Linked DNA regions of Elephas maximus indicus. The protein of the gene in region 2 interacts with the protein of the main gene of each other region in a pairwise test. Links are inferred from orthologs where the notes say so. Each region holds a gene or a part of one and is shown on either strand. Other genes may lie near its edges. The genes, in order: KXD1 and TCEA2.

What was found.
Region 1: the proteins of TCEA2 (region 2) and KXD1 interact in binary tests that used the Homo sapiens proteins (3 or more experiments, as listed by UniProt). The two-hybrid records come from large-scale screens. The link is inferred for Elephas maximus indicus from reciprocal best matches to the Homo sapiens genes TCEA2 and KXD1.

The regions. Positions count from the first base shown.
Region 1 is NC_064821.1:38,488,582-38,504,511, reverse strand, and holds the start of KXD1 (kxDL motif-containing protein 1), read right to left. Parts: upstream 7,568-15,930; 5' UTR 7,523-7,567; coding exon 7,481-7,522; intron 7,455-7,480; exon of another isoform or gene 7,269-7,454; intron 1,615-7,268; coding exon 1,493-1,614; intron 545-1,492; coding exon 392-544; intron 1-391. Other genes in the region: peptidyl-prolyl cis-trans isomerase FKBP8, read left to right, coding at 15,923-15,930.
Region 2 is NC_064843.1:4,072,076-4,087,984, forward strand, and holds TCEA2 (transcription elongation factor A protein 2), read right to left. Parts: upstream 7,959-15,909; 5' UTR 7,774-7,958; coding exon 7,705-7,773; intron 7,180-7,704; exon of another isoform or gene 6,648-7,179; intron 5,086-6,647; coding exon 5,023-5,085; intron 4,890-5,022; coding exon 4,784-4,889; intron 3,932-4,783; coding exon 3,844-3,931; intron 2,986-3,843; coding exon 2,549-2,985; intron 2,150-2,548; coding exon 1,995-2,149; intron 1,930-1,994; coding exon 1,783-1,929; intron 1,214-1,782; exon of another isoform or gene 1,204-1,213; coding exon 1,132-1,203; intron 989-1,131; coding exon 980-988; 3' UTR 629-979; downstream 1-628. UniProt on the Homo sapiens protein: Necessary for efficient RNA polymerase II transcription elongation past template-encoded arresting sites.

The DNA.
Region 1 (15,930 bases), on a different chromosome or scaffold from region 2:
CAGATCTTTTAAAAATGCCACCTCAAGGCTTGCAAGAGATGCACAATAAAGCCTCGTAAAAGAAATGAGCACATCTCCTGGGCAGGGACGATTCTCATCGAGGAGGGGAGGAAGCCAAGGCTCACATGGGAGCTGGAAGCAGAGGCCAGAGGTGGCTGGGCGGAGCCAAGGAGAGCAGGGCCAGGGAGGGCGGGGCTCGCAAAGGGACTGGAAGAGGGCCGGGGCAGGGCCGGGGAGGACCGGGGGGGGCGGGGCTGGGGGCAGGGCCAGGGAGGGGCGCGGCTGGGGGCAGGGTCAGGGAGGGGCGGGGCTGGGGGCAGGGCCAGGGAGGGGCGGGGCTGGGGGCAGGGCCAGGGAGGGGCGGGGCTGGGGGCAGGGCGAACACACCCACCTGATCCTGCGGAAGATGCTGTCTAGGTCCCGCTTCATCTCAACCAGGGTCCTCGTGTGATGCAGGAAGCGCTCGTTCATCTGCTGCAGGCGGGCGCTTGACAGGTTGTTGAAGTTCAGCAGCATTTCGTTAGTCTTCTCAAAGCGGTCTAGCCTGGTGGCAGACAGAGGTCTCTAGCTCCTGCGCCCAGCCTCTGGGGTGCTGTCTGACCTGCCCCTCATCCTGAACTGACCCTGCCAAGTCCTGTCCTGCTTCAGAACCTTATCCTGCTGAGCTCTACATGCTGTTGAAGTCACCTAGCCAACTCCTATTTGTCCTTTAAAACCCCAACCAAATATGCATTCTCTCCCTGCTCCCTCAAGCACACTCTGCTTCTGTTCCAACTCTCCCACTCCCAAGTTTTTCACTTTGGCCCACCCCGACCCCAAAGGGCCAGGACAGTCTGTGTGGGAGTCTCCTGGGGCTGGGGCCAGGGCCAGGTCTGTATTTGACCTAAAGAACTAGGAAAGAGTGGGGCATTCCTAATCCCAGACACATCTAGTACTCGTTCCAAGCGAGAGAGAGGTCAGAAAATCACATCTGTGCTTTGTCATACACGGAGTGTGCAGAGAACCTTCAGACCCAAGACTGAAGCCCCAAAGACCATGCTTCCACCCTAAAGTTTTGAAGGATGAACAGGAATTTGTCAACCCTCCTCCTCCACAGGGCAGGCCAGAATTAGGGTTAGGCTGAGGTGGCCACAGGGCAGAGCCGCCTCCAGAGACCCAGGCTCTGTGCAGATGCAGACGCCCAGCCCTGTCAGGAAGCCAGCCCACCAGCTCCCTGGGCACCCTGAAATCTCCCAGCAGCCCAGCCTGTGCCCCATTCTCCCACCCAGGCCTCGGGATAGGAACCTCTGCGGCCCACGCCAGGCTGTCCACAGCTGCAAACCCTTCCCCAAGCCCTGCTTCCTGTGCCAAAGACTCGCCCCCAGGCCAGGGAGGAATGTGCTTTGGAGCCAGCAGGGCGATTCGCTCATTTCCTTCATTTTATTGCCCAAGTGAGCTGGGGCAGAGTGGGCAGGGTGGGCAAGCTGGCCAGCAGGCAGCTCCTCCCACTCACATGTTCTTCTGGGCCAGGATGATGGCATTGACATCATCTGCATTCACCATACTCAAGACGCGGCTGCAGAAGACCCCTGAGGCCGAGTCTGGGGCATCCATCTCTTCTTCCTCCTCCACAGCCTGCAACGGGTAAGAAGATAGAGGCCACCATCAGCCCCAGGCATGGTGGAGGCAGGACAAAAGGGCCGGGAGCAGTCACCCACCTGAACCTCTGGGACAGCACTTCAGGAATTTGGAGGCATTGGGAGAGCTGAGGTGTCCCTGGGTGGTGCAAACAGTTAAGCTCACGGCTGCTCACTGAAAAGCTGGAGATTCAGGTCCACCCAGAGGCACCTCAGAAGAAAGGCCTGGCAATCTACTTCCAAAAACTCAGTCATTGAAAACTGTATGGAGCACAGTTCTATTTTGACACACATGGGGTGGCCATGAGTCAATGCTGACTCAACTGCAAGTGGTTTGATTTTTCTTTTTTTTTGGTGGGAGGAGAGCTGAAGGAGGTCAAGTTTGTGAAACGCTTAACACCCATGCCTGGTGCACAGTACAAGTTCAAAGAGAATCCACCAGTCAAGCCCAAACACATCAGAATCCCATGATCCCTCCCACCTCAGCAGGCCTCCTCCCTGGTTTTACTTGCCTTCACTCATTCCCACTTTTACGGGTTACCTTTGCCCCCCCCAAAAGAGGTATGTCCACATTCTAAGGCCTGGTACCTGTGAACGTGACCTTGTTTGGAAATATGGTCTTGTGGATAAAATCAAGTTTAGATGAAATCATTAGCTGTTAGGTGCTGTCAAGTCGGCCCCCGACTCATGGAGATGCCCTGCACAATGGAACAAACCACTGCCCCATCCCTCAGCATCCCATGATCGGCTGCAGATATTGATGTGATCCACAGAGTTTTAATTGCCTGATTTTTGGAAGTCAATCGCCAGGCCTTTCCTCCTAGTCCATCTTAGTCTGGAAGCTCCCCTGAAACCTGTTCAGCATCCGAGCAAAACACGAGCCTCCAAGGACAGACAGGTAGTGGCTATGCATGAGGTGCACCAGCCAAAAATTGAACCATGTGGAAGGTGAGAATTCTACCACTGAACCATCACTGCCCCATTGAGGTCATTAGAAAGAGCCCTAAATCCAATCTGGTTGTTGTCCTCCTAAGAAGAGAAGTGACACAGACACGGTGAGAAGGCCATGTGACAACGGAGGCAGAGACTGGAGTGATGCAGGTACAAGCCAAGGAACACCAAGGATTGCTAGAACACCAGAAGCTAAAAGGCAGTTCCTTTCCTAGAGGTTTCAATGAGAGCACAGACCCGTGGACACCTTGATTTTGAACTCCTGGCCCAGTTTGTGTTACTTTGTTACAGCAGCCACTGAAGACTCATACACCCACCTTTACTCATTCTGTGAGCCATCCCCAGCGCCCTCCTCACATCATCACTCACCCCCCACGTCTCCTCTCCCCGAGGAGTCTTCAATGACTACTCCCCACCTGGTTACTCCCACCAAGTCATCTTGTTCTAATCTTTCCTTTGGCCCATCTATTCCAGAACTGTCTTAGCTATCAGGTGACCTGCGCGTCTGCCGCCCTCACCACACTGTCAGCTCCACGAGAATAGAGGCACGTTGCTCAGTCTCCAGTCCCCTGCCCAGAACCGGGCTCACAGAGGTTGACAGAACTTGGTTTTTGCGGGCGCAAAGAGAATCTTTCAGATCAGATCTGACGATAGACTTTTATCAGAAAATTAAAGCCAAGAATTTCAGGCACTCGCAGCCAGGCTGTGGGTACACCAGATGGCTCTGCAGCTTCCAGCTTCCCGGGCTCAAAGATGACCATCCTGGCAGGCAACGGCTTCCAGACCAGGTCAGGCAGGACCCCAGCTTCAATACTGTCCCCCCAGTGCAGGAAAAACCTGGAATTCCAGCACAGCTTAGCTCTGGGGCCCACGCAGTTAACGGCTGACAGAAGAATCCATTTGCAATTGGTTACGATCCTGTAAAAATGGTCTAGCAGTAGTCTCTGAACCTGCCTAACTTCACAAGTAGGAATGATGAGAATTACCATCAGAACCGGCCCAAATTTGATCCCTACTGTGTGGAGATTAGACATACCAATACTCTCCAACCTTTTTACCAATTCTGTCACCAGCCATCCCTCCCATGGCACCCTCTATGTCTCTACTGGGTTCGATAATCCATAGCAATGGCCAGAGAGAACTCATATACCACGATTACACTTAAGTGGTTTATTAAGGAAGTAACAGGGTACAACTCAGGATCAGGAAGCACATAGGCAAAGTCTGGAGGGCTCCCCAGAAGTGGAGAGCACATCTCTCCCTTCTTCAGTGCAGGACCGCTCTCTCAGCTCCTCTTGGCCATGCAAGCAAGCAGGCTCTTCTCTCTGCTGTGCACAGCCCCTCTCAGTCCCCTGAAGACAGGCCTCCTCTCAGCCCCCTGAGCATAGGCCTCTCTGCCTTCAGCCTCCCCGCCATCACCAACAACTGCCACAGGGCCCCTTCTAGGCCTGATACCACCAGCTCTGCCCAGGGCTTCAAACAGGTTCTTCCTGATTCAGTCATGGCTGATGAAATGGAACTGGCACAGATCCAAATTTTTAAAACTAAGTGCTCCAGAATGGTAACCAGAATCGGTAAAATTACAGGTCAAACCCTCCTGGACATCTAATCTCCCTCTTAGGAAACAAGGGCTGCATACGTGTTGCATAGCAACCAATCTCTTGCCTGGTAGGATTTTGAGCAGAGATGGAAATAGCTGTGTCCGGCTCAAGATGGCAGCCAGCCACACCACTCTGAATGTATGTCGCTCTCCACATTCCTACCAATAATCCAAACTCATGCATCAGGCTCCTGAAAGGGCTCACTACACCTCTTCTGAGTCTCCCACTCCGGGGCTTCAATTCATAATTTTTCTTGTTCTGCAGCACCAAAATTTTAAAAATTTGGGTCTGTGCCAGTTTCACTTCACCAGCCACTAATGAACTGGTTTGAACCAGTTCAAAGCCCTGGCCCTGGCTCAGGGCCCCTTTCAGGCCTGTCACTTAACACAGCCCTTGACCTGTGTTACAGCTCTTTGAGGAGGTCCCTCACCTCCTTTCTCTCTCTGCTGCTTCTCTCTTCTTGCCTTTTCTCCTTTCCACTTCTTCCTTCTTTCTGTCTGCCAACCTTTGTGGAATTGTCTGCACATATAAGCAAACTCCTGGTCAATTTCAAAGTATGGCCCTCCCACCAGAGCCATGAACTGACCAATCCCCTCCTGGTAGACCACAAACCGTAAACACTTCTTCTCTGTAAATATACTGACCAATCCCTGCAAGGTGCACACTAATTACAGGGCAGGCTACAGCCCAGGGCCAAAACAAAAAGTCAAGTTGTTTATAAGTCAAGTTTGGGAAATGTCCATCAACCTGGACAAAATTAACAAACCCTCTGGGGAAGAAAACTAGGGCAAAGGTAACTCCTCGAGCCTTAGGAAAAAGCTCTCAAGCTATTTTTCCAAGAACCAAGGCAAAAGGCCACACAAAAGAACTCATTTCACCAGAAGTCTACAGGTGAGGCAGTGATGTTTCAGTGGTAGAATAGAACCTTCGCCTTCCATGTGAGAGACCTGGGTTTGATTCCCAGCCAATTCACCTCATGAGCAGCTACCACCTGTCTGCCAGTGGTGGGTTGCATGTTGCTATGATGCTGAACGTATTTCAGTGTAGCTGCCAGACTTAAGATAAAGTCCCTGGATGGTGCAAATGGTTTGCACTTGACTACTAACCTAATGGTTGGCGTTTCACTACTACCCAGTAGCACCATAGAAGAAAACCCTGGCAATCTGCTTCTATAAAGATTACAGCCAAGAAAACCCTATGAAGCAGTTCTACTCTGTCACTTGGGGCTACGATTAGTCAGAATCAACTTGACAGCAACGGGCTTGCCTTTTTTTTTTTTAGGTTACCTGACTAAGACAGACTAGGAAGAAAGGCCTGGCAATTGACATCCAAAAATCAGCCAGTGAAAACCCTATGGATCACAAGGGTCTTACTGTAACTGATCATTGAGATGGTGCAGGACTGGGCGGCATTTTGTTGTGTTGTGCATGAAGTCACCATGAGTTGGAGCCAACTCAACAACAGCTAACAAGATCCACACACAGGATCATGAAGGGCCTTCAGAGCCTACTTAACCCACACTCCCATTTCCTGAACAGCTGCTGTATACCAAGCACAGCACCAAGCTCACACACTGGAAACTGCTATCATCCTTATTTACAGATGAGAAAACTGAGGTTCAGAGAGACTGAGTCACAAACTCAAATGCCCAAGGTCTGCAGGTTCCACAAAGGGGTGAATCTGAGCAAGTGCTCAGTATCTGTCCATGGAGGAGCAGTTGCTTCTTACAGCAGCTGATTTCTCACAGACTTCTGATTTTTTTTTCCAAGTAGAAACAGAAATCGAGATTTTTTTTTTCACGTGAAATTGCCTCATTTACAAATGCTAGCAACCAGTTTGGTTTTTTCCCCCAAAATATGCTGGAGGCCAAAGAGTAGCTACTGGTATCCTGAACCTGGCTACCAATTTGCATCCCTGTACACTTTCCAGGAAGGTCCCTGGGAGGTGCAAAAGGTTCGTGTTCGACTACGAACTCAAAGGTTGGCAGTTAGAACCTACCCAGCAGTGCCATGGAAGAAAGGCCTGGTAATCTGCTGCCCTAAAGATGACAACCATTGAAAAACCTATGAAGCTCAGTTTTACTCTGTAACATATACAGGGTTACCAAGAGTCTGAATCAACTCCATAGCAACAGGTTTGGTTTTTCCTTTTTCTTTTTGGTTTTATGCCTTCCAGGAGCAACTGCCGCAGCTGTCAAAGCCCTCCCCTCTTCCAATAATTGCTGTTTTTTGAGCTCCTACTGCACCAGGCGTGAACACCTGTGGTCTCAGTATTTCCAAGGAAGCATGGTGACCCATGGTATGAAGACGGCATTTGGGCTTAAAGAGCAGGGTAACATGGTAGGAGGCCCACAGCTAGCACTTGGCAGACACAGGTGCTGCAGGAAATGGTCCACTTCAAAGCAGGACTTTTGCCTGTCTCTGGCTCCCACGTGTGAGGCCTGAGGAGTTCATGCCCCTCTCCAGCTGCCTGTCTTAGGAAGTCCTCTCTGACTAGCGGAGCAGAAAAAAACCCAGCAGGGGATCTCTCTCCTCCCTTCCCTGCTCTAAACATATTATGGATGGGAGAAACCGGCATTGGAAAGTTTGTGTGACCTTGGGCAAGTCACCTCACCTCTCTGTTTTCTCACCCAGAAAACGAGAATAATGATGAGTGAGGGTGTCACATCGCTGTCTGATCGCTGTCTGTGAAGACTGGGGACAATGGAGATTAGAGAGGGGTCAGAGGATGCTGATTCTCCAGCGGGGTTTTGGAGACGTCCTGGGGCGGGGCCCACAAGCTGGTATTTTAACGAGTGCTCCCCCGCCAAGTGCCAAGAATACGAGCAAACATTTGTACGGCGTTGCATATAATTCTCGATCACTTCTATGAGGCAGGGAATATTGTGCCTAAGGGAAACCTCGGTATCTTGCCCAAGGTCACATGTCAAGGCGCCGCGACTCCACCCAAGTCTTGGAGCAAAAGCGCCCGGACTTCGCGACCCGATCTCAGGACAACCCTCGAGTCGGACGAGGTTCGCACATCCCTCGCCCCCCACTACAAAGCAGGAAAACTTGGGCGAAAGCCCGGCAACTCCTGGCTTCAGGTGACAAAGCACAACCTGAACAGAAACGGCCCCAGCTTCCGCTCCTCGGATCGGGATCCGTCCTGCGGCGTCACTCGCGCACCCACTGCGCAGACAAGGAAACTGAGGCCTGTGCACGCAGGAGGGGGGTCCTGATGTGGCCAGCGGCGCGCCCCACCCCGCGGCAGCCCGAGGGCCGCGCCCGACCAGACCCAGCTTCCTCGACGCCCCGGAGCCCCCGTCCCCACCCCAGCCTCGGTCCAGCGGCGGCTGTGGCGGCACCTGCACATCTGGCGGTCTTGCTCTCGCTTCCGGGATGGCGTCCGCGCCGCCGCGACGACACCACGCACCGTGCGTGCGAGCGCGCAAGGCAGTGACGTGAACTTGGACTCCGTGCGTGCGTGCGTGCGTGTGAGGAGGTGCAACCGGAAGGGCGGGGCTTAGACGCAGCCACCCCCTTTCACCGGTGCGTCCGAATAAATAGCCAATCAAATAATCCTATTTGTGCCTGCGCTGCGCTCCGAGGAAGCCCGGAAGTGGGGAAACGTGAGAGACACTTCCTCCATTTTATGGATTGGTAGGCTGAATCTCTATCAGGGCTTCGAATGGGTTCAGTCATGGCAGACGAACTCTGAGTAGATATGTATGTTTACAATTTCGAAATCCTGTAATGAGAGACTTGGAAGAGGCATAGTGAGCCGTTTTAGGTGCCTCATGCTTAAGACTGAATTATCGGCAGAATTGTGGAGAGCGACAGGAGCTCTGGTGGCGAAGTGGTTAAAGCGACCAACTGCTAACCATAAGGTTGGTGGTTCGTAACCATCAGTGGCACCTGGGGAGAAAGATGTGGCAGTCTGCTTCAGTAGAGATTTACAGCCTTGGAAATCCTACGGGGTCACTATGAGTCAGAATCAATTCAAAGGCAGTGTGTTTGGTGGAGAGTGACACATTCAAAACAGCATGGTTGGCTGCCATCTTTGAGCTGGGCAGTGCTGTTTCTGGCTATGCTCAAAATCCCAGCGTCAAGAGATTCGGTTGCTACGCAACGTGTATGCTGCTCCTGCTTTTTAAGAGGGAGATTAAGTTTCCAGCAGGGCTTCAACCTGTAATTTTTACCATTCTGGGTATCATTCTGGTTCACCCAAATTCTAAAAATTTGGATCTGGTTCAGTTTCTCTTCATCAGCCATGACTTAACCTGGAAGAACCGTTTGGAAGCCCTGGTTCTGAAAAGCAGCAAGTACTGCCTTGAGGCCATACAATGTTCCAGTGGCCTTAGATACACCCAGACCCTGGTACCCTGCTTTCCAGACTAAGAATTAGCGTCACCTGGGTTCCAAAATCCCTGCTCCACCTTTGGAGACCTTTTGCAAGTGCAGGAACCCAGTCAAGAGCTTTCTTGGGATTTAGTTGTTGTGTCTTTTTAATCTCCTCCAGCCCATGCAGTTCTTCAGTCTCTCCTCATCTTTTGTGATATTAATACTTGTGAAGAGTACTGCTCAGTTTTGTAGAATGTCCCTCAACATCAGTTTGTCCCGTGTTTCCTCGTGATTAGATTGATGGTACATCTTTGGCAGAAATCCCACACAAGTGATGCTGTGTCCTTCTCAAGATTTTTTAGATTGCTATTTAAGGCATTGTCTCTCCATTTCTTTACTGTGAAGTTATTATGTTTTTCTTTACAAATAATAGGTATCTTATGGAAAGATACTTAGAGACCATGCAAATACCCTGTTTGTCGTATTTTCACCTGCAAATTTTAGCACCTCTCCATGGTCCTTGTGGCCACAATTATTAGTGGGGTATTTGCCTAATTGCGATCTTTCTAGTTATTGATTTGGTAATTCATTAGAATTCTACTGTTCATTCTCCACGTATTTATTGATGCAATTATTTATATCACTATAAACTCACTGTTATTTTATTCCATGGATAATAAAAAAGTTTTTTTAAATGGATAATAGCACATAATTATTCAGTGCTGTTTCTGCATCCTTTTGACACAAACCCATCATTCTCTGAGCATTTCCTTGCTTTCTGGCGCCACAAGATGTTCTAGGTTCTGGCACAATCCTTGAACCAGCCATTTGTCCTCGAGCCTGGTTCCATTTCTGTACGAATGGTATTTAGAAACCAAGTTCTGGATGCTGGATGTGCTCATTGCTACTGGGATGTCACTGTTTCTAGGCCCTCTCTGCAGTGAGAGGTAGGAGATAATAGCTGTATGTTGTTGTTAGCTGCTGTGGAGTTGGCTTTGACTCATAGCAATCCCATGTACAATAGAATGAAACATTACCTGGTCCTGTGCCATCTTCATGATTGCTGGTATGCTCAAGTCCATTGTTGTATCTGCTACATATCTTGAGTGTCCTCCAACCTAGAAGGCTTGTGTTTCAGCACTACAATGAACAATATTCAGTTGTGATTTATAAGGTTTTCATTGGCTAATTTTCAGAAGTAGATTGCCGGGTCTCTCTTACTAGCCTGTTAGTCAGGAAGCACCACCGAAACCTGAGAGATAAAAGGTGGTACAGGCCCCACCCCAGGGAAACGCCCTTTACCTTGGATCTGGGGTGGTGATTTGGGTAAGGGTGGTGTTACAATCCCACCCTAATCTTCTTTAACATAAAATTACAATCACAAAATGGAAGATAACCACAGAATACTGGGAATCATGGCCTAACCAAGTCAATACACACATTTTTGGGGGGACATAATTCAATTCATGACACCAGGTTAGATGCGTGAACCAAATGGGGCAAATAGTAATTGTTCAAGAAATGTTAATAACTCATTATTAGTTATTGAGATCCTCTGGTGTGCATATGTTATACATTATGCATGTAATCACTGTATCAGTTTTTTAACTGTAAGTTGTAGTGATCATGGTATCTACCTCTAAAGGGTGTCGAGAGCTTGGGAGATACGTATATAAGTCCTCAGGTACATGGAAGACTGTAAAATCCCTGAAATGGGACAGAGTTCTCATTCCAATTCTGTCACATTCAAGCTGGATGGGTTTGGGCTAGTGGCTTAACCTCCCTGTCATGGTTTAAACTGTGTTCCCCCAAAATATGTGGCACTTTGGTTAGGCCTTGATTCTCAGTGTTGTGTGGTTGTTCTCCATTTTGTGATTGTAATTTTATGTTAAGGATTAGAGTGGGATTGTAACACCCCTGCTAAGGTCACATGCCTGATCCAATGTAAAGGGAGTTTCCCTGGGGTGTGGCCTACACCACCTTTTATCTTACAAGAGATAAAAGGAAAGGAAAGCAAGCAGAGAGTTGGGAACCTCATCCCACCAAGAAAGCAGTGCCAGGAGCAGAGCACATCCTTTGGACCGAGGTTCCTTTGCAGAGAAGCTCCTAGACCAAGGAAAGATTGATGACACGCACCTTCCTCCAGAGTCCACAGAGAAAGCCTTCCCATGGAGCAGACGCCCTGAATTTGGACTTGTAGCTTACTAGCCTACTACTTGGCTTTGGTAAAGCCATCCACTTGTGGTATTTCTGTTATAGTAGCAGTAGATGACTAAGACAGTCCCCAAAGCTCGACGTCCTCGTTCATAAAGTGGGGATAATCATTGTACTAGCCTTGGAGGGAGGACTGTTATGCAATCATGCAGGTGAAGTACTCACCATAAGGGTTGGCATGCCATAAATCCTCAAAAATGGTTTGTTGTTGTGTGTGCCGTCAAGTCGATTTTGACTTATAGTGACCCTATAGTACAGAGTAGAACTGCCCCATAGGGTTTCCTAGGGTGAAATTTTTATGGAAGCAGAGCACCAGGTTTTTCTCCTGTGAGGTGGCTGGTGGGTTCAAACTGTTGACCTTTATGGTTAACAGTCAAGCATGTTAACCACTGTGCCACTAAGGCTCCTTTCAGTAAATGGTAGGTAATATTATTACTCCCACACTCCACTGCATCGTTTGTTGAAAAGTCAATGAGGACCAGTATTTTTATAGATTTAGTTCAACAAACCGTTTTGAAATTTGTTGATTAAGCCCTCCCATTGCTTCCTCTGGGTTTGGGCCATATGTTGGGGATCCAGAGAGCACTCTATTCCTGCCTAGCCCTAGAGGAGGAAGGGAGACAGAGGTAGACACAGACACCCCCAGCCCTGTGGGGATCACTACTGCGCTGGGAGTGAGCAGGACTCAAGGCTGGAGGAGCCTGAAGAGTGTGACGTGAAGACTCATTTGGCAGTCAAGGAAGGTTGCAAGGAGGTAGAAACATTTGGATGGGGTTTTGAAGTAGGATTAGGAGTTTTCTAGGAGACAACCAGTCATTCCAGGCAGAGGGAACTGCAGGAGCAAAGGCAGGATGATGGGAAAACACGTTGTGTGAATTTGATCTTTGTAAGAACTGGGGGGTTGAATGAGTCCAGCAAAACCAGTGCTGAGAGGGGGGAGTCAGAGCTGAACCATGGCTCTGTCTGCAGGCTGCAGGAAAAGAGGCCCAGGCTGGAGAAAGGAAGTTTCTCAATGGGTCCTTTGGGCTCTGCTGGAGGCCGGGAAATATTTATGAAGGTCTTGGGAGGGGTGGGGGCTGCACAGCAAGGCTAAAAGGGGCTTGGCCATCCCCAAATGTTTTGTGCACAGTGGAGTGGGGATAAGAACATATTTTCCTCTGTGTGTTGAAGGGACAGCGTGAGAAGTCATGGGAACGTTCAACCTGCTGACAGCTGCCCAGTGATGCGGACATTGCTGGGGGGGAATGTGAAAGGAGGGGAAGACCTGAGTTGGTTTAAGTGGAAGATGAACTTTCTCTCCAAGACCCTCACTAGAATCTCTGTGCCCCAAAGCAGTCAATCTTTTAGAAGCTTTGTCCCTCAGGAATGGAACCTCATCCCAGCCACCATATATGACTTATTCTGGTTCAGGAGAAAGCAGGAGGTCCAGGTATGGGGAGTAGAATCCCTTCTCTGCTTCTTTTCCTAGTTTATTTCTTCCATAGAATTTGTCACACCTGCAATTCAACTCTTATCTGCATCATCATCATGCAATACCTGGCTCCCTGGCTGCAATGGAAGTTCAATGCGCGAAGGGATCTGGCTCATCATTCTCTCCTGGATGTGACCTTGAACAAAGTAATTAACCTCTCTGTGGCTCAGTTTCTCTATCTATAAAATGAGAATAATAAGAGTCTTATCAAGGACAGTTAATAGTGAAGAACATGACTAATGTCACGAAACTGTACATGTGAAGATTGTAGAAATGGCAAACGTTGTGTTACCTATATATTCACCACAATAAAAAAAAGTAATCTCACCAAACGTATCCAAAATGAATCCAAAGGAAGGCAAGGAAGAAGAGAAAAAAGGGGCATAGAGCAAAAAGATATAACAAGAAGGCAGATTTAAGCCCAAAGAGGTCCATGATTACATTAAATGTAAGTAGACCAAATGTCCCAGTTAAAGGACAAAGATTGGCAGACTGGATCCAAAAGCAAAACCCAACTGCATGCTGCTCACAAAACACAAGTATACAATTTAAGGATATGGAAAAGTAGAAGCTAGAAGGGTTGCAAAGGATGGAACATTTAAAATACAAACCAAAAGAAAACAAGTATGCAATGTTAACAGCCAAAGTCCACTCTGAGGCAGGAAGAACTGAGATAAAGAGATTCACGTCATAAAAATAATAAAAGGTTCGATTCACCAGGAAGATGACATGGTCTATTTGCTTATTGGTCAACATGGGGATTCAGTACTTGGAAGGTGTGCAGCAGTGCCTGCAAATGTGAGTCTGCCATTACTATCATGATTACTTTTTTGGTGTTGGTGTTATTTTGTTATATTTTCGTTTATTGTTTATTATTGTTGTCCATGATTTCTCCAATGCCTAGAACACTGGGGTTCAGAGATAGGAAATTGTCCAAGTCCCTTAGAAGTGGGACTGGCCCTCATTTTATATGATGTCCCTTCCCTAGTTCTTTCTCACATACTCCCAATGTCCCACCAGCCCTCCTGGCTGAACTGCCTGCCTTCTTACTTTCTTTCCTTCCTTCCACAACAATTTTCCTGAGTCCCTCCCACACCCCCTTGCCTGTTGCCAGGCCCTGTGTAGGCCTCAGAGTTAAAACAATGAGAAACAACAGACCATTCCTAGACTTTGGGGTATCCCAGTCTAGTGGGTGAGGCAGAGGTTAATCAAATCATGTCACAAAAATAAATATGAAGTGGAGGTTCATTGTGCCAGAAGAGCAGTGAAACAGGGCACATGACATTGCTTTGGGAAGGTCGCAGAGGGCTTCCTGGAAGAGGTGACACTGGAGCTTGGATCTGAGATGTTAGTTACCTCCAGTAGCTAGTGTCCAATTCATTCATTTATTCAACGAGAATTTCTTGAGTGCCCATACGTGACAGGCATCCTTCTAGACAGTACTGGACACAAATCAGGCAAAAAAATCCCTCCCATGGGATGAACAAGATCATTCCAGACGAGGATAACTGCTGCTAAGGAAATAAAACAGAGCAAGAGTGGAATTAAGTGCCCCCCATCCCTATTCTTTGAAAACAAAATCCAGAAACACATCTAATCGAGGCTGCCACCTTCTTCAGGGCCCTGGGGCACCTTATCACCCTCTTGCAGTGGCTCAGCAGGGTGCGCAGAGGAAGAACTTCCAGCGGCCCTGCAGGGTCATCAACCTGGTAGTTACTGAGCACCTACTGTATGCCCCAGGCAATCTTCTGGGGGTTAGATAGACAAAACCGGGGGCCACAACGGTCCCCCTCAGGCACAGCTGTGACAAAGGTTCCCAGGTGGCCTATCCAGCAGCCTCAGAGCTGCTCTGACACTGCAGCCTCAGCTCTTGTAGGAAACACCAAGTAGCACAATCCTCCCGGCAGATCCTTGGTGAGCTGCATGGATAAGGATGTTTATCCCCATTTCGCAGATAGGCAGGATGACGCTTGGCCGGGAGCAGGGAGTCCCCCCAGGTTGTGCTGCGCCGACCCGCATCTCAGACGCCCTCCCGCGTCCAATCAGCTCCCCGAGTCCACCTCCACCGCCCCACCCCCGCCCCCTGGGGCGCCCGGGAGCCGCGGCCCCTTTAAGAGCGCCCCGCGGACCCAAGCAGGAAGGGGGCGGTGCCTGCGCCTAGATGGACGGGTGTTCGGACCAATGGAGGTGGCGGTCACGGCTGCTGCTGCCAATGGGCATGCTGGGGGGCGGGGCCAGGGCCCGAGCCTAGTTCCCGAGGCGCGGCGGCGGCGGCGGCGGCGGCTGGGGGCGGGGAGGGGGGCGCAGGACCCCAGGAGGGGGTCCCGGAGCTGGAGGCACGTGTCCAGGGGTGCCGGCGGGGTCGCGCCGGACTGGGGCGCTGTCGAGGCCTTGGCCGAGCCGGGCCGGCGCGGCAGGGGCCACGGGCGATGGGCGGGGCGAGGGAGGCGGACCGGGGGCGCGCGGGGGTCGGGTGCCGAGGGAGCTCGGCCGGGCGGGGGCGGAGGGACTGGGGGTACGGGAAGCTGTGGGGGTCTGCCAGCAGAGAAGCGCAGGGCCGGGACTCCCCAGTGGTGCGGGGGTCGGGGCCCCCGACTGGTGGCGTTAGACGGGCAGGGGGCGTTGGGGGTCTTGCTGGGGAGTTGACACGGGCTAGGCCTGGGCGGGTGGTGTGTGGAGGGTGTGGGGGCCTATGGGGCCAGGAGGGGGGCGTCTGGGGACATCGGGTGTTTATGGGGGAGGGAGCGGCTTGGGGGGCCTGGCCCAGGCCGGGGGCGGTAGTTGGAGCGGGGGAGGCCGATTTGTGCCGGCGCAGGGGATTGTGGGGATAGGGTCTCGGAGGGTCTCCGAAAGGGAGCCCAAGCCCAACAGGAGAGGACAGGTGAAGGATGGAGGGGGAAGTGCCGTGAGTTAAGACGACGGCCCCCACCTCCTGAGGTTCGTAGGGTCTTGAGGCTTTGGGTGGTTCGTGATGTCACGTCCAGGGCTGGGGGGCTCCCAACAGGCCTGGGACAAGGAAGGGGCATAAAATGTGGGGGTATCTCCAGCAGTCCTGCAAAGGGGCCTGCTGTTATAGGGGTCAAGAGACCTGGGGAGAGGAAAAGGCCCCCAGGGCAGGTGCAGGGCCAAGGGTCCCTGGTGTGGGAGGGTGCCCTATAAGCTTCAGAGTCTGGAAGGAAAGGGCTTGGGGTTTCTGGAGGGTCACAGGGCTGGAGGTGAGTTTGTGGGCCGGGGGCTCCTCCTTAGGAAAAGGGGCAGCAGCAGGCAGGGAGTTCTGGGAGAGATTGTTCTTCTGTATTGGAGCTCTAAAAATAGCCTCCAAAGGCCTCCTAGTTGACTCTCAAAGAAAATCCCAGAACCCTTTTTTGGGATTTAATCATACAAAATCCCAGGGCTCTGGAGCCCGAGGTTCAAATCCCACCCCTGCTGGCTTGCTCTGTGACCTTGAGCAAATGGCTTTACCTCTCTGGGCTTCAGTTCCCTTTTTTGGGAAATGTGTGTTTGGGGGGGAGGGTGGTCACCCCTCTACTAGGGCATTTACAGTAAGTAATAATTAGTTCTAGTAATGGTGACACTGTTTGAGCTACATGGCCAGAGTTTGTTAAATCCTTGCAACAAGCCAGTGTAGTTGTAATACCCATTGTATAGTTGAAACTGAGGCCTCAAGTTACTTTGCAGAGTGTGAGGTGGAGGGGAAAATGGGCGGGACCGGGTGGGGTTCTTAGCCCGTCCCCTCCCCCCAACAGCATGGCATC
Region 2 (15,909 bases):
GCCCAGACCCTGAGTCTCCAGGCCCTGACCCTCCACCAAGCAGGGCGGCTGCTCAGCCTCCCACACACCTGAGTTCAGCGACCGTGGCATATCTCTGAATGGCCCCATGGACACCCTGGCGGGGAGTTCGGCAGTGGTGACTCAGTGCCAAGTACAGAGTCACCTCCATCCTCTCACGGGCCCCAGGAATGTCCTCATCACTCCTGCCTAGCCAAGCCTCTAAGAGGCTAAGTGAGTCAAAGCTGGAACTAGCCCAGGCCGAGACCCCCACATTCCCCCACCCTAGCATGTCCACTCTGCCACTTCAAGAAGAGATGTGGGTGGGAGACAGAACAAGCTGCCGAAAGGCCCCACAGGAGGGCATAGCAGAGGGACCCAGGTCAAAGCTTCCAAAACTCAAGGCTAGAGCTGCTGGCAGCATGGGGTGGGTTGGGAGGATGCTGAGGGCAGCTAACCTAGGCCTCACCTCAGTCATCTAAGTGGACAAGTCCCCTGCTCCGCCAGCCCACACACCCAGCTCGGCAGGCCCATCATATACACACACGCACATCCCTGAGTACACCCATCTCCCGTTCCTTCACTTCACCTGAAGACATGTGCACACATACACACAGGCTCATGGGATGCCACACCCACCTCTACGCCCAGGCCCTCAATCCTTCTGGGGCCAGCTGACCTTCCGTGATACCCACTGCCCATAGGGCCCCATGTCAGCTGGCCCCAGACTGGGAGGGCTGTCCACAGCAGCAGAGACAGACTAGACATGGAGAATGGGGGCAGCCCACCCAAACTGAGGGCCAAGGACATCAGGATGGCAAAAAGAAACGTTTAATAATTTGGGACAAAGGGGAGAAGTGCACGCCAGGCAGGATAGGGCGAGGGTAGGTTGTTTGGGGATGGCGGGGGCAGCACTGGGTCTCCAGGGAAGCCGAGTCGACAGGTGGGGAGGGCAGCAGAGGCTGCAGGCTCATGCATAGCTTCAGCAGAACTGTGAGGAGTCGGGCATGAGGCCATGGCTGAGGTCTCGGCCCAGCCCATGCTCTTGCCCATACCTGATGCTGGGGTGAGAGGCACAGTCACCCAGCTCAGACTCCCCAGGACCTGCCCACCCAAAGCCAGAGCTCAACCTACCTTCCAGCGGTTTCCACACTCGTTGCAGACAACGAAGGTGGTCATGGGCTCATCAGAGCTTCGGGTTTGCACCTGTGTGGGACTGTGGTGAGAAGGGCCCAGGCCGTGGGGCTGTTTCTCAGGGAGACCCGACCGGCCAGGGCCGCAGGAAGACCATCTCGTGGGGTAGGAAACACCAACCGCTGAGGCGGGCACCCCAGGATTGAGGGGGCTGTGCCTGGCTCTTGTCCTGTGTCATCTGGAAGCTTGCATGGCTTACAGACCAATGGGACCAGCAGGGCGGGTGGGCCCAGGTGCCACAGGGGAATGGGGTGGCTTGGTTCCCATGGCCTCCCAAAAACTCCATCTGCCAACCCCCATCCCCTCACCTGGACACCTTCTGGAGTCCCTACACCTCCTGACATCCATACCGCCCCCTCAGAGCACCTTGGCATCCACTCACCACACCCCACTCTTCAGGGCACCCCTGTTGGGCTGGACAGGGTCCCCAACCTGAGTGCCAGGTAGTGGACCCCACCACCAAGAATGCTGCTGACTGGGGCCAGGCCTCAGGAGAAGCTGGCTTGCAGGCAGGGGACACACCCGGTGTCAGTGAAGCTCTTTTCTACACCTGCCTCAGGTGAAGAGACTAGTATATGGGAGGAGGCCCACCTGGGTGTAGGTGCAGCTCTTCCTCTTGCACCTGCCACAGGTGAAGAGGTCAGTGTGGGTGCCACTTGCTCGGGCCATCTGGTGCTCACGGATGGCCTCTCTGGTCATGGCCTTACGGATCTCCTTCAGCTCATCGCTGGCCATCTCCTGGAGGGACGCCAGTCAGGGACAGGCCCTCAAAGCAGCCCCCTGCCCCAGGCCCAGTAGCTCACCTCCGAGGTCATCTCGGCAATGCGCTGGGGCGCAATGGTGCCACACAGCACGCTCCGTCGTAGCCCCGGGTTCTTGGCATCCTTCAGGTTGGAGATGCGGCTCCGAACGCGGTTCTTGTACTTGACGTCTGTGCTCCCCACGTCCCGGAAGATGCGTGCAGCTGCTAAGGACCCGTGGGCCTCCCAAGAGGGGCTGCACTGGGCTGGGGTTCTCCATGGGCATCCCCTCCCCACAGGGAACTCCAACTGGGTTGGGGTCCTCCATGGACACCCCTTCCCCATAAGGGGCTGGGCTAGGATGAGGAGCCACCGTGCTCTACCTGGCAGTTAGGACAAGCCCTTTGGAGCAGAGTCACCCACCCTGGCCTGGCAGCAGGCAGGGGACTCCACTGGACCATTCCGCACTGAGACCCTGACGCGCCCAGGAAGGAGGTGGCCGCCCTGCCTAGGGCACAGGGCGGCCGGCGGTGCCTACCAGCGGCCACCAGGGGGAGCCAGCCCCAGCAGGCCCCAGTCCTCACAGGTGCCAGGCGGCATGCCTGCAGGAAGGATATATTCCTCTATTTGGGCCGACAAATGCTCACAGTCTGCGCCGATGGCCACGTGGTCATCTGCAAGAGGCAGCCCTGACCAACCACGCCCACTGGCCCTCCACCCACCCAACACCCCGGGGCAGCAGGAAGGGACACACCACTGTGTCCCAAAGACCCCACCTGCCCCAAGTGGGCAGCACTGGGCTGGGGAAGGGGCAGGGCTGTCCTTCACGGACCCTTTGGAGCTTGTGTCCAGAGCCAGAGCAAGGATCAGGGACTGGGCGGACCTGGGTGTGGCTGGTGGGAACTCACGGTCTGTCTGCAGGGCAGCAGCCAACATCTCTCGGCACTTGTTGCGCACAGCATCACAGGTGATGGGTACTGGGGGAAATGTGGTCATCCGAGGGGTCGATGGTGTCCTGGGCAGCTCCGGCCTCTTGCGGCTGGAGAGGGACGGCCTATGGGGCTCAGACACGGGCCCAAGTGCACCATAACAGTGCAGACAGGACCAGAGGCCAGGGTGCCAGAAGCCATCCACAGCTCCACCCACTGTCAGGGAGACCCTGGACACAGCCACCCCTGGGTACCCTGACAGCAGCCACCACCACGGCAAGATGCCCATCCGCCTTGGTGGAGACAGGCTCGGCTCACCCAAGGCCAGTTCTTGGGTCACCCCTGCCAGGTATAAAACCAGTAAGGATACCTCCTCACAGGGCTAGGCCCCCACGTGGCAGCCCAACAGCCAGGCTACAGCCACCCAGCCCTCCCCCCACAACCCAGTGTCCCACGACCCAGAGGCCCCATGGGATGCCAATGGGAGCAGGAGGACTTCGCAAGGAAAAACAATACACATAGGTGTTCAGAAGGGTGCGATGCTCAGCAGCAGCTAGGTCCAGGCCTCTCCCCACCCCTCTTCTGGCACCTGCCCGGCCCCCTCCACAGACCCCCCCCGACCCAATTCCCTACACAGCCTCTGTCTGGCTTCTCCACCTGGCCCCTCACCACTCAGCACACACACCCGCTCTGCCTGCTCCTGTCTTGCCTCTCCACACCACCCACCCCGTGCCTTGCTGCTGGCTCCAGACTCTTGAGCTGCCCCACACTGGGCAGGGAGCAGCTCGCCGACGCCAAAGTAGACACACCAAGTCCAGAGTCATGGGCAGGACTCAACCCAGCGATGCCAGCCCAAGGAGCATTGGAAGGGGTGCAAAGCCACCCCCTCACAGAGCAGCACCCTCAGGGTAGGAGTGTGAGCACCGCTTCTCTGGGGGGCTAAGCTGGGATAGCACACACCTGTACCTGCCCCTCAAGCGCACCTGTGGGCCTTTCCCTCGGAGGTGTCCTTCGATGGCAGTGAGGCCAGGGACGTGCTCCTCCGCTCCCCAGCTTTGGCGTCTGAAGCATCTGCAGTTGCCAGATAACAGTGGGAAGGGGCTTGGCAAGGCAGCCCAGGAGGGCTGGGCCCGGCCGAGGGAGGCATACAGATGGCCGCCACAGGGTGGGCCCAGCCATACAGCACCCTTGTCCCCAGAAGGTCACACCCACAGCTGGGGAGCTGCCAGGGGCTACTGAGGAGCTATGGGGACTGCAAGGGGCTTTGGGGCTGCTGGCCTTCCTGCTAAAACGCCCTCTCCCCCGCCTCCCCCACCTCTGTATTCCATACCACCCCTGCAATGCCCCTTCTGCAGATGCCCCCCATGCTGCCTCCTGGGGCCAGCCCACTGCCCAGAGTGATCCCAAGGTGTGGGGATCCAGCAGTTGCAGCAGCAGTGGGTCCAAGGAGGCCAGCCCTCAGTATGACCAGTGTGCCTGAGCTGGACCAGGAAGACGTGTGTGAGCAACTCCTAACCAAGGCCCCTCTTGAACCCACAGCCGTGGCCCTGGGCCTGTGCCAGGGCTGGGACCCCTTTCCCCCCACACCAGCAGAATACACGCTTGCCCCACAGAAAACCCAACGGCCACACACACAGGCCCAGAGGGGCCTCTCAGGTCCAGAGGGGGACTCCCTGTCCTGGGTGGGGGGCATCTCTGCAACCCCCAGTCATCCCACTGTTCCCAGGAAGTGGTGTCTGGCCAGCCTAGTGATCCCTGCCCAGGCTGCCCTCCCTCCATCCCCTCCCTGCAAGGTGGTGTCCACACTCCAGCCAGCCACCTCCTTCATCCTCCTCTGAGTGGCCTCCTGACTTGGCCAGTCCCTCAAGTGCTCATCTTCCTGCCCCCCCCCACCTGCCCAAGCCCCCCAGGGCCTGACCGCACCCAGGAGCTTCTTCCAGGACTTAATGAGCGACTTGGCCAGTGCGATGACCTCTTCATCCGAGCTCTGCTTCCGAAGCGCATTGACCGACATCCCGATGCGGGTGGACTGGGGGAGGTGGGGCAGAGGTGTCAGCATGGGAACCCCCACGGGAGTGGACACCCCCTCTGTTCTCAGTGCCCCCCCCGCCCACCATGTACACACACCGCCCCCCACCCCCGTCCTGGACCTAGTGACTGACCTGCAGCAGGTGCAGTGTGACCGGCATGGCCTTCAGCTCCCGAAGCAGGTCCATCGCTCCTTCCTGGGGTAAGAGGGACCTCAGCTCAACAACCTCGGTGTAAGGTCTGTGGGACCTCACCCCTCCTCCTGCATGCCAGAGACTGACAATCTGGAGGTGCTACCAGGCCTCCACCTGGGGCTGCAGCACTGTAGCCCGGGTCCTGTGACTTCCCAACCTCCCCAAGACCACATCACCCAGAGCTGCAGCCAGTGGGCCAGCCCCAAACCCTGTGCAGGTCCCAGATCTTTGCCTACCACCTGTCCCCATTCCCTGGAAACAGGCAGCCTCACCCAAAGTGTACGGAAAGCAGGTGCACCCCCTACTCAAACAGCACCATGGCCACACTCAGTGGCACCCAGCCCCTCTCCACGGCGACATCAGCCAGTCCCAGGCCCGCCTTCTCATCACCAGCGGTCCTCACCTCCTCATGTCACCCCAGGATCAGACCCTGCCCCTCCCTCATGCCTAGACCACACAACTGCCCCCAGTGGTCTCCCCCTTGACCTTATCCCTGACCAAACCCTGGGCACAGCGCCCCCCACTGTCCCCCAAGTGCCCCAGGCAGCCTCAGGGCCCTTGCACAGCTGCTCCACTGCCAGCCCTCTGCCGCCTTTCCCTCCAAAGGTCCACTCACACAGCACCTCCTCAGTGAGGCCTTTCCTACTGAAAACTGCACCCACATCCATGTGACCCCCACCCTCCTCTACAGACAGAGCTCTACTGCACCAGTGAATCTCCACGTGTGTCTCCCTGCAAGATAAGGGATGAATGACCCATCACCCAAGGTGTGAGAGCTAACAACATCCTGCAGCCCAGGTGCCCTGCACAGGGCCAGGCCTGGCACACCCCCCCCCAAAGAAGGTGGTGTCTCTGCTTAGGCTGCAGCCCCCTCCTCATCCCATCAGGCAGGCCTCACCCCTTGGTCTGTACACTGGGACCTCTCAGAAGGGACAGATGGCTCTGCCTGCTGCCTTGGGCACAATCTCCCTCTTTCTTTTCATCCCCACCCCAGGGTTTCTATTGTGCCTCCACCTGGACACACAGCCTCCCCAGCTCTGCCAGGCCCCAGCCTGCCCTCCCACCACAACACCCCCACCCCCAAGTGAGCGCCTTTATTCCACCTTTGGTCATCTCTGCAAAGGCCTAGGAGACTGGCCCATACCCTTACTATGCCTGCCCACAGCTTCCTGGGGTGTGAACACCATAGAGCCTGAATGCTTGCTGAATGAATGAATGAATGAGAAGCAGCCTCTTCCTAAATGGGGGGCCACAGACCCCAGTCCAGAGTCACAGTCACCAGAGACCCAAAAAACCACCCCAAACCCCATGGCCATTGTGAGGCTTGGGATGGCCACCCAGCCCCTGAGCCGACTCCCAGCCAGTGGTCTTGCCCCACAGGGCATCCACTCTAGAGGGGAGAGAGCAGGTCTCTTGAAGGTTTATTGAGCCCTGGCTGCCTACTAGCAGCCCTGGTGGTACAGTGGTTAAGTGCTCAGTTGCTAACTGAAAAGCCCGCAGTTCAAACCCACCAGCTGCTTTGTGGGAGAAAAATGTGGCAGTCTACTTCCATAACGATTTACAACCTTAGAAATCCTATGGGGCAGTTCTACTCTGTCCTACAGGGTCGCTGAGCTGGAATCCACTGGCCGGTTGCCTGCTGCCCCCAGCTGGCAGGCCCCGCACAGCCTCCTGACAGGGCAGATCTCCACCAAGGACTCTTTGAAGGTTGCCAAGGTCACAAAGCTGGGGGGGGGGGCTGGCCTCTCCTAGAGACCACGGCACACAGCCTCCCAGGGCACACAGTGGCTGCTGGACAGGAAGACAGAGGGCCAAGCCACTCGGCATCTGGGGCTCGGCCAGCAAGTTTCCACCTCCCAGCTCTTACAGAATCCTATGGGGTTTCCTAAGGGGCTCTATACATCCATCCACCCCAGTCGCTGCGGGCTGAGTCCTGGCTAAGGACGGGAGAATTTACTGGAGTAACTGGACTTTGTGGAGTGGGGCAGTGGGGACAAAAAGGGCAGCCGGAAACGCTTCTGTTGTTTGTGAAGAGGACGGAGGGGCAGCACTGGGGCACGGGGCTGCACTGGGGGAAGGGGCGGGGAGGGGGTGGAGATGCCAAATTCTGCGTCCTGAGAAAGGTGGGGGGAGGGCTGGGGTAGGCAGAGGGCACAGGGCCGGGGGCTGGCGCTCCGGAAAGGTGGCTGGAAAGGAGGAAGGCGGGGGGCGCGGCGGTCGGCTAACAAGGGGGGCGGGGGGTGTTCTTCGAGAGGCCCGGGCGAGGGCAGCCGAGGAAGGTCTCCTGCAGCCGGGCCCCGGGTCTGAAGCCGCGGGCGGAACCCGGTCTGCGGGGGGCGGGGAGGGAGGGGCTCAGCCCCGCGGAGGGTCTCAGTCCAGGGCGGTGGTTCTGAGGCCGGGTCCGCCCGGACAGCGGCCTCTGCCGGGGCGCGGGGACGAGTAAACGGCCGGCCCGGGCAGGGGTCTCGGCCCTGGGCGAGGGTCTTCCCGTGTCCCAGGAGTCTGTGCCGGGGCGGGGGCTCGTCCTGCCTGCCCTCCAAGGGTCTCCCGGCCCGGGACCGGGGCTTGGCCGGGGTTCGGCGGGACGGGGGTCCCGGGGCCCTGGCGGCCCGCGACCCTCACCACGCTCTTCTTGGTCACCATCTTGTCCAGCCTCCGGGCGATCCGCGCAATCTCCTCCTCTTTGCCCATCACCGCCCCGGGGCGCGCCCCAGCGCCCGCCGCGCCAGCCCGCCGCCGGCTTCGGAGACAACCCCCGCCGCCCCGGCAACCCGCCGCAGTCCGCCGCAGTCCGCCGCAGCCACCGCTGCCGAGACCCTCGGCTCAAACCCCGACTCCCGCGGCCCCCGCGTTGCACCCTGGGTTGCGTAGTCTCTGCGCGCGCTCGTCCCGCGCGTGAGCGCCCCTCCTGGACCACAACTCCCAGCTGGCCCTGCGCGTGCGCGCGGCCTGCTGGGAAATGTAGTCCCAATGCCGGCCGCCGCCAGGAACCTGTGAGGCCAGGCAACTCGCAGTCCAACAGCCCCCGCGATGAGGGCCGCGGGTAGGGACCGCCGGCAGGGGGCGCCGCAGAGCGTCAGGCCCCTCTCGCCTGGGTCGGGCTGCAGCAGGGTCTCTGCTCGAAGTATCCCCAACTTCTCCGCGCTCGCCACGAGGCCTCGCGTCGGCGCCGGAGGGGCGTGAGCAGCAGTAGCAATATGGGGTCTGGAAGGGGCCTGGGCTGGGGTGGGAAGGCGCCGGAGGCGGGGGCACCGCTGGGGCTGGCAACCCCAGCGCTGCCCCTCGAGACGCCCCAAGCAAGGCAGTGGGTGCTCTGTGCCTCAGTCTCCCCGTCTGTAAATGGGGTGACCGCATCACCTCACAGGGCTGCTGTCAGGTGGATGCGAGTTGATTCACGTCACCACTGAGAACCGGGCCTGAATGCGGCACAAGCAATCCCAGTCATTGTTAAGTTGCTGCTGGAGGGCAGATCCCCTGAAGGACCAGCCTGCACTCACAGGAGGGACTGGCTAGGCCGGGGAAGGACAGCGCCCCACCCATTCCACCTCCTGAGCGATGCCCATGCTGGGTGGTTTGTTGGAGGGGGTGTGGTTCAGAGGGAGGGTTCAGGCCAAGGGCACTGGACCCTGAGGCCACGTGGAGGTGTGAGGCCCAAACAGCCTTGGCTGACATTAACGAGATATGAATAAGCTTCACAGCAGCCAAAGCGAAAAGGAAAACAGACCATAGCTCTAAGCCCAGCCCAGCCCAGTAGGTCCTTGTGGCCCAATGTGGCCTGAATGCCATGGTCTGAGCATGTGTGCGACCTCAGAGGCACCGGGGGAGGCTGGAGCCACATCCTTCAACAACCTTCTCAATGGCCTGTGACTGGCCAGACCAGAGAGCTGGCCAGAGGACCTCAGACCAGCTCCCGGGCTGCCCTCGTGCAGGAACCACGAGGGCGCTCCTGTAGCCTTGGGGACACAGGGGACACAGGTGGGGCCGAGCTGACTCGAGGTCATGGATGGAGCTGGTGTCCCAGCTGGAGGTCCTGAGACTCCCCAGCCCCTGCAGGAGGGACTGCGGAGACGGTATGGGGGGAATGTGGAGCAGCAGCCTCTAGATGGCAGTGGTGAGCCAACCATGCCAGTCCACACACGGTGGGGCCTCTAAGGGGCTGTGGTAGGCTCCAGCAGGAGGGGCAACAGAGCCCAGTCTCCCGTCCCTCCCAGAGCACATCCTGCCCCAGGCCCCTCCTCACTGGAGCTCCCCAGACTACTCACAGTACTGGCCCTTCTGACCCCAGCCCTCCACTCCTGGTGTGTCCACACCTCTGGTCTCTGCTCGTACCCTTCACCTCCAGACCTCCCAGGCAAACTCCTGCTCAATCTTCAAAACCCAGTTAACATGTTCCACATCTCTGACATGTGTTGCCCCCCAGAGTCTGGGGAGATCCAGGGAGCCAAGCCTTTTGGAGCTTTAGTTCAGACAGTTAGTCACCCTTAAACAAACAAAGCAGGGCCGGCCACTCTGACCAATGGGGACAGACTTTCTGGAGGGTGAGGCAGCAACAGCCCAGCTTCACCAGCTTCACCACCTTCTGGGTTGGCCCCTCTCCAGGTTTCCCCCTGCTGATGTAATGAAGCCCCTGCAGGGCTGGCAGGGAGGGGGTGGAGGCTAGGCCACAGCGTTGGCCCATGCAGGGCTGGGTGTGGGTGGGAGGAGAAGGCAGGGGCTGAGGCATAAATGGGCAGAGAGGTGCGGCCAAAGGAAAAGGGTGCCAGGCGGGGGACTGCTATGCGTCCATCTGTGCATGAGCATCAGCCTCTGCCTCTCCCAGCCTCAGAGCTCCCTCCTCCAGGGAGCCCTCCTGCTTTATCTCCCACAGGCAGCTCCAGTGAGGTTCACGGAGACTCAAAGAACAGCTCTCAGGAAACCTCGTCTGGGGACTACGGCACTGTCAGGGGAGCCCAGGAGGCAGACACACCTGAGTGGGGGTCGAGGCTGCAGACAGCTGCACTTTGGCCCAAAGAACTGCTCCTTCCCACCAGTCCTGCAGCCCCTCCCATCTCAGCCACGTGAGACATCGGAAGCCCAGGCCATTATTTTTCTATTTGTGTCCCCCACCCCCTCCCGCCCAGGCCGCCCAGGCCGGCCATGACCCCAGCAGACAGGCATTGAGCTTCCCTTCTGGCTGGGCGGGGCGGTGGTGGGAAGGCTGGGGCCGCTGAGCTCACACGGACCCCCCACTTCCCATGGCCATGGGGGGCACTGCCCTAGGCTAGTCACAGCCTCACAGCCCGGAGCCCACACCCACCCCTTGCCACCCCCTCCTGAGCACCCCAATCCACCAGACCTTCCCTACTGTGGGGTTTCTGAGGGGCCATGATACCAGCCAATCCCACCTAGGCCTCCCTTCGGTCCCCCTGCCCAGGTGCTCCTGGCTGTGTCCATCACTGACAGCCTGCTCTGTGGGCCTCAGTCTTCCAGTCGGTGGAATGGGAAGGGCTGCCCACCCAAGGTAGTGTCTCTCGGAAAGTCCCAGCCCACAGCCTTGGCCCAGGCCCCGCTCCCTCCCCAAGAGGCAGCGTGGGGTGGGGGTGCAGGGCATCCCCCAGAGGCCAGCACGGCTGCCTGCTTCAGGCACTGCTTTAACAATGCGCTTCCCCCCACACAATTCCCAGAAACACCGCCCTCCAGCCTGCCAGCCCGCCAGCCTGGCGGCCACTCCACCCTCCCCAGAGGCCCTGGGCAGCAGCGGGGGTGGGGAGGCTCAGGCTGTGGGAGAAGTATGTGGGTTCGACCCACAGGCGGGCAGCAGGCCCAGGCTCACTGGGCACACTGGGCTCCAGCCTCAGTGTGAGAGGCCTTGGAAAACTGAGTGAAATGATACCCCTTCTCTGCTCAAACCCTCCCAAGGCCCCACATCTCCTTTGGGGGAAAAGAAAGACCTCCCTGGTCCCCGCACACTGGCCCCCTCAGCCTAAAACATGCCTCCCCACGAATCTGTAGGTCTCCCTCCTCCACGTGCTTCCTTCAGGCGTCAGCTCATCGAAGGGCAGGCAGTGAACACCAGGACACCCCGTTCCCTTCACCAGCATCACTGTTCTCCATAACATGTCTCCACCTGGCACCCCATACTCTTTCTGTCTTGTGGATTTGCTGATTGTCTCTGCCCATGGTCAGGGTCTGTTCACTGCCAAATCCTCAGCCCCCAGGACCGCCTGCTACAGATTGGGGGCTGAGGGAGGAGTGAATGAATGAATGAACGAATGAGCCAACCCTGCCCATGAGCAAGAGGGGTGGGGTTACCCAGGTTGGATGATCCCTGAGAACAGAGTCCTGCCCCTCCGAGACAGCTTGGTTGCCAAACCAGGACAAGCAGCTAAGAAACACATGGCTTCAGGCCTCCCACCCTGCAGGGCTGGGGGGAGGTGGAACGGGGTGCTGGGGGTGCTCTACTCCCACTCCCACCCTGGCTCCCTCTCTCCCTGATTCCCAGAGGAGCTGGCAGCCACCCCAGGGATGATTCAGGGCCCCTGGACAGCAAGTGTCACGGAGAGTTCAGGTGGGGAGGGAAAGGCCAGTCCAGCAGGGGCACACAGAGCCAAATAGGGGCTGGACATGCACTGCAGGACCCAGGGCACTCGGCCATAGGCTGGGGCACCAAGTGGTGTGGCTCGGAGGGGGTAGCGGTATGGCCAGAGATACACTGGACAGGAGCGGGCTGGACAGGAGGGGACTGGCCAGGCCACCGGACAGAGTCTGGCGCCTGCTCAGCCCAGGCTCCCTCAGCCGGCCTTCCTTCCTGAGCTGGTGTTTCCTGGCCCCGCCCTGCCATTGCCATGGGAACCAAGAGGGGCAGTCCCCTTGCCTGGTTCCCATGGAGCCCCCACTGAGCAGCCAGGAGGCCCACACAGCATGCGGACACCCTGAGGACACACCGCAGCCACACAACACACCCCTAAGGGTTGCACAATAGCCCCCAAGCTCACAGGCACCTCAGCACCCTGCAGATATGCAAGAACCCCTGAGGCACCCCAACTTCATCCTACAGCCCATACCCCACAGTGCAACACAGTCTGCCTAACAGTCCCTAAGCAATGCCCCAGTCCTGTGGGCATCTGCAGCACCCACAAAGACAGAGCAGCCCCTCCACTGCGTGTGACCTGACCCAGCAGCACAGAGTGGGCAAGCCTTCTGTCCCCACCACCCCACACCTGCTCAGCCTACCTCTCCACAGCGCCCAGGGGAGACAGGGTCCTGGCCACCGCATATATCCAGCCTGAGGCCTCTTTAGACTTGCAACGGCCCCCCACTTACACCCCAAGACACCAGCCAAGCAGCCACCTCTTGCACCAACCCCGACACCCAATCCCACACCAACGCCTAACTGTGGCAAATCACGCACAGGAACACGGACCCCGACCCCACGCTAGAGAGCTCCAGCTGGGGGAGCGTGAGCACTCACACGCACTCATCCCCATGCCTGCTCATGCATGCGTTCACGCAGGCACACTCATCTGCTTACACACGCTCATGCCCACAACTGTCCACACGCTCACACCTGCTCACACGCGGCCACTCACACACACACATCCAGATCCACACACACTTGCTCACGCCCACACACGCCCACCCTGCACACACTCACACCCATCCATGCCCATGCCCACTCACGCCTGGTCACACCTGTTCACACCCGTGACCTCTCACGCTCACACCCACTCACTACAGCCCTCGCCCTCCTGCACACTCATGCCCACTCGGGAAAGCACGGAGTGCCCCCAGCCCCTTCTCAGAAGTGGGGCTGGCATTCCTGGAAGGCCAGGCCCAGCACCCTGGGACTGAGACAGGAGAGCAGGGGCGGGTGAACCCACTAGGTCAGTGACTGACCTAGTCATTGGCCACAGGCAAGTGCCCAACTGGCTCTGAGGCACAGGGCGGCCTCCCCGACGACCCCATCCTGCCTGGACCACATGGCTTTCACTCTCTGAGTATCCTAGGTGACAGAGGCTGCCCTCCCATCGCCAACCCCAAGGACACAACACCACTCAGAGGCAGGGTGGCTCCAAAGCCAGGGTCTCAGAAGACCAGAAGGGCCCTGTCACCTGAAGCCTTGGCCAACAGAGGACCCCCCACTTTGGGAGCAGAGGTTCTGGGCCCCCAGGACTCAGTAATTGGTCCCAGCCTTGCTTCTTCTGCAGTTGCCAGGGGCTGGATGGTGCAAGCCTGTGAGGTCTGCGCCCCTGGCAGCGCCTGGGAGGTCCCGCCACCCCCAGCCCGGAACAGAGCCAAGCCCCTACCCAGAGCCACCAAGAGGGGACAGCCAAGCATCATCTGTGAGCCTCCCCCAGAGACTGGAAGTCCGGTTCAAGCTGAGGGAGGAGAGTGGGCAGAGGCCAGAGGATGGTATCCACTGAACACCCCACGCACGCACTCCACCTTTCTCTGTGGGGGCTGGGGGCTGTAGACTGGCTCTTTCACAAAGATAAGTGGCAGCCTACCAGGGCCAGACCAGCCTGAGGGTCATAGGAATGACCCTAAACTCATGAATCACCCCCCTTTGGATGAGCTGGAGCCACCACTCCTGGTCAGAGAAGCCTCAGGGACCCCTCCCTTGGTAGGCAGTGAGGCTGGGGTCTCACTAAGCAGGATCCACAGGCCAGGCCCTGGTCTCCTCGAGACAGAGTTCAGCTTCTGCCTGGCCCCTAAGGCCTGGAGCAGCCTCAGCACCTGGGTTCACTTCAACAGACACACACACACACACACCACACACACACACACACACACACACACACAGAGCAGATCCTCCCCAGCACAGCCAGCCCAGAGCTGGGCCACACCCACACCTGCCTTGTGCAGCTCTGAAGAGCCTCCAGCCCCATGTGAATGGCCCTCTTGCAGGATCAGGGTCAGAGTTGACCTTGCAGTAGCCCCTACCCTGCGGCACTCCCATCTAGTCAGTGGCCAGGGCTCCCCCACCCCGCAATCCCCACGGAGCAGCATCATGGGAGGGCTCTCCAGTGGCCATGCCCGGCCCCCCACCCCAGCCAGCTCACAGGACATGACAGCCGGACACCTGAGTCTACAGCCTGGCCCAGGGGAGGGTCACTGTCTGGCGCCAGACAAGCAGCCTGGGGGCCGGGGGGGGGGGGTTGTGGTGAGGTAATGCCAGACACTGCCTCTGGAGCAGCTTTGACAACTCTGGGCTCTCAGGGCTGCAGGGTGGCCAGGCAGAGCACTCAAGGGAACTGCAAATCTGTCCCAACGTGGGAGAGGGCTGCAAAGGGGACCCTGGAGGCTCCTTTCCAGGCCTAGTGATCATCACCCTAGGCTAAGCCAGACCGTGGAGACCCAGAGGGTACACACAAGGCGACAGGTAGAGGTAGCCACAGGTGCTGGGAAGACCATGGCAGCTCGCCCTTGGGACTCATCCCCCAACTGGAGTCTTCCTCACATACCTCCCCCCACCCCTGACCCAGAGCCAGACCAGACCAGTGAGCCCCCTGGTCCCCCACCTCACCTGCAGGCCCTGCACCTCCCAGAAAATGCCATTCTTCACCCTAAGCCTCTGTGCACCCGTGCCCTGCCCCCCCCCCCCCCCCCCCGCCCCGGCACTAGAGCCTAGGAGCCAAATCTGAACAACTGGGGAAATCTGTAAACCACTTTTGGAAATCCCATCCTTTACTCCTCAGGCTGATGGGTGGCTGTTACTGAGACCAAGTGTGGTGAAACATGACCTAGGAACAGGCTGGATATGTCACAGCCCTCAGGTTGGGGACCCTGAAGGCCACCAAGGGACAGTGGCCATTGCTACAGCACCTGCACAAGACCCCTGTTTGCCAGCGCTGACAAAACCCACTCTGCAACGAGAGGGTGTTAAGGAGGGCAGAGAGGCCAGAGCCACAAGGCCACTCACCCGACAAAACCTGATGGACTGTTGGGGGGTGCAGGGAGACCCCTGGCCTCTGAGGCCAGAATCCCCCCATGGGGTGGGACCAGGACAGTGAGGAGCAGGGAGGCAGGATATTCCTCTGGAAACCATTTAGTTCACCAGCACCTACGGGGCAGCCAGGTGTCCCCCACTCCCATAAAGCCTTGTTCTCTCTGGCTGCAGCCATTGCTTGCCCCCCTCTCCCCCTTTCTGAACAGGCCCTGGGGGAAGGGTGAGGCCCAGGCTCTAGATGCCCTCCCAGGTCCCCGTCCAGGGCATCTGCCGTCTCCCTCCCCTGTCCCGGCATCCAGACCAGCATCAGCTGGCGTGGGGAGGGAGCAGAGGACTGCCTGCTCCTTTAGCCCCACGATGGACTTAGGGGGGAGGAGGGGTCTAAAGTCCAGTGGTTAAAGTTCCACCTGTGCGTGGAGGGTTGAGAACCTGAACCAACGTCCCAGGTGGCCCAGAGGGCGCCCGTCCTAGAGCCTGGAGCCTTTCCGACGGTGCTTCTTACGTTTGAAGTTAGACTCTAGGGAGGACTTACGGGCGGGTGGCAGGATGTCCTGGAGAACTTGGTGTTGAAATAAGACGTCCCCTCCTCCTGGAGTTACCTGGGGGAGGGGGTCGCGGGAGCGAGCCAGCCATGGCCATCCTCCCCCAACTACCACCCGGGGCGACTCTGTGGGTGGGGCGGTTACAGCTCAGCTTGAAGGCCCTACAGCCCCCCAAGAGGAACCCCCCTCTGAGCCCCAGCAGCTTCTGCAGCTCTTTCCCATTCGAGGGTCTCCCGCTCCGAGAGCGCGGGGGAGGGGGCGCCGCGGGAGGGAGGCCGCACGGAATCCGGCTAAGAAGAAAGGAGCCCCCGGGGAGGGGGCGGCCCGGCCCGCGCCCCGCCCGCCCGCCGCCCATTG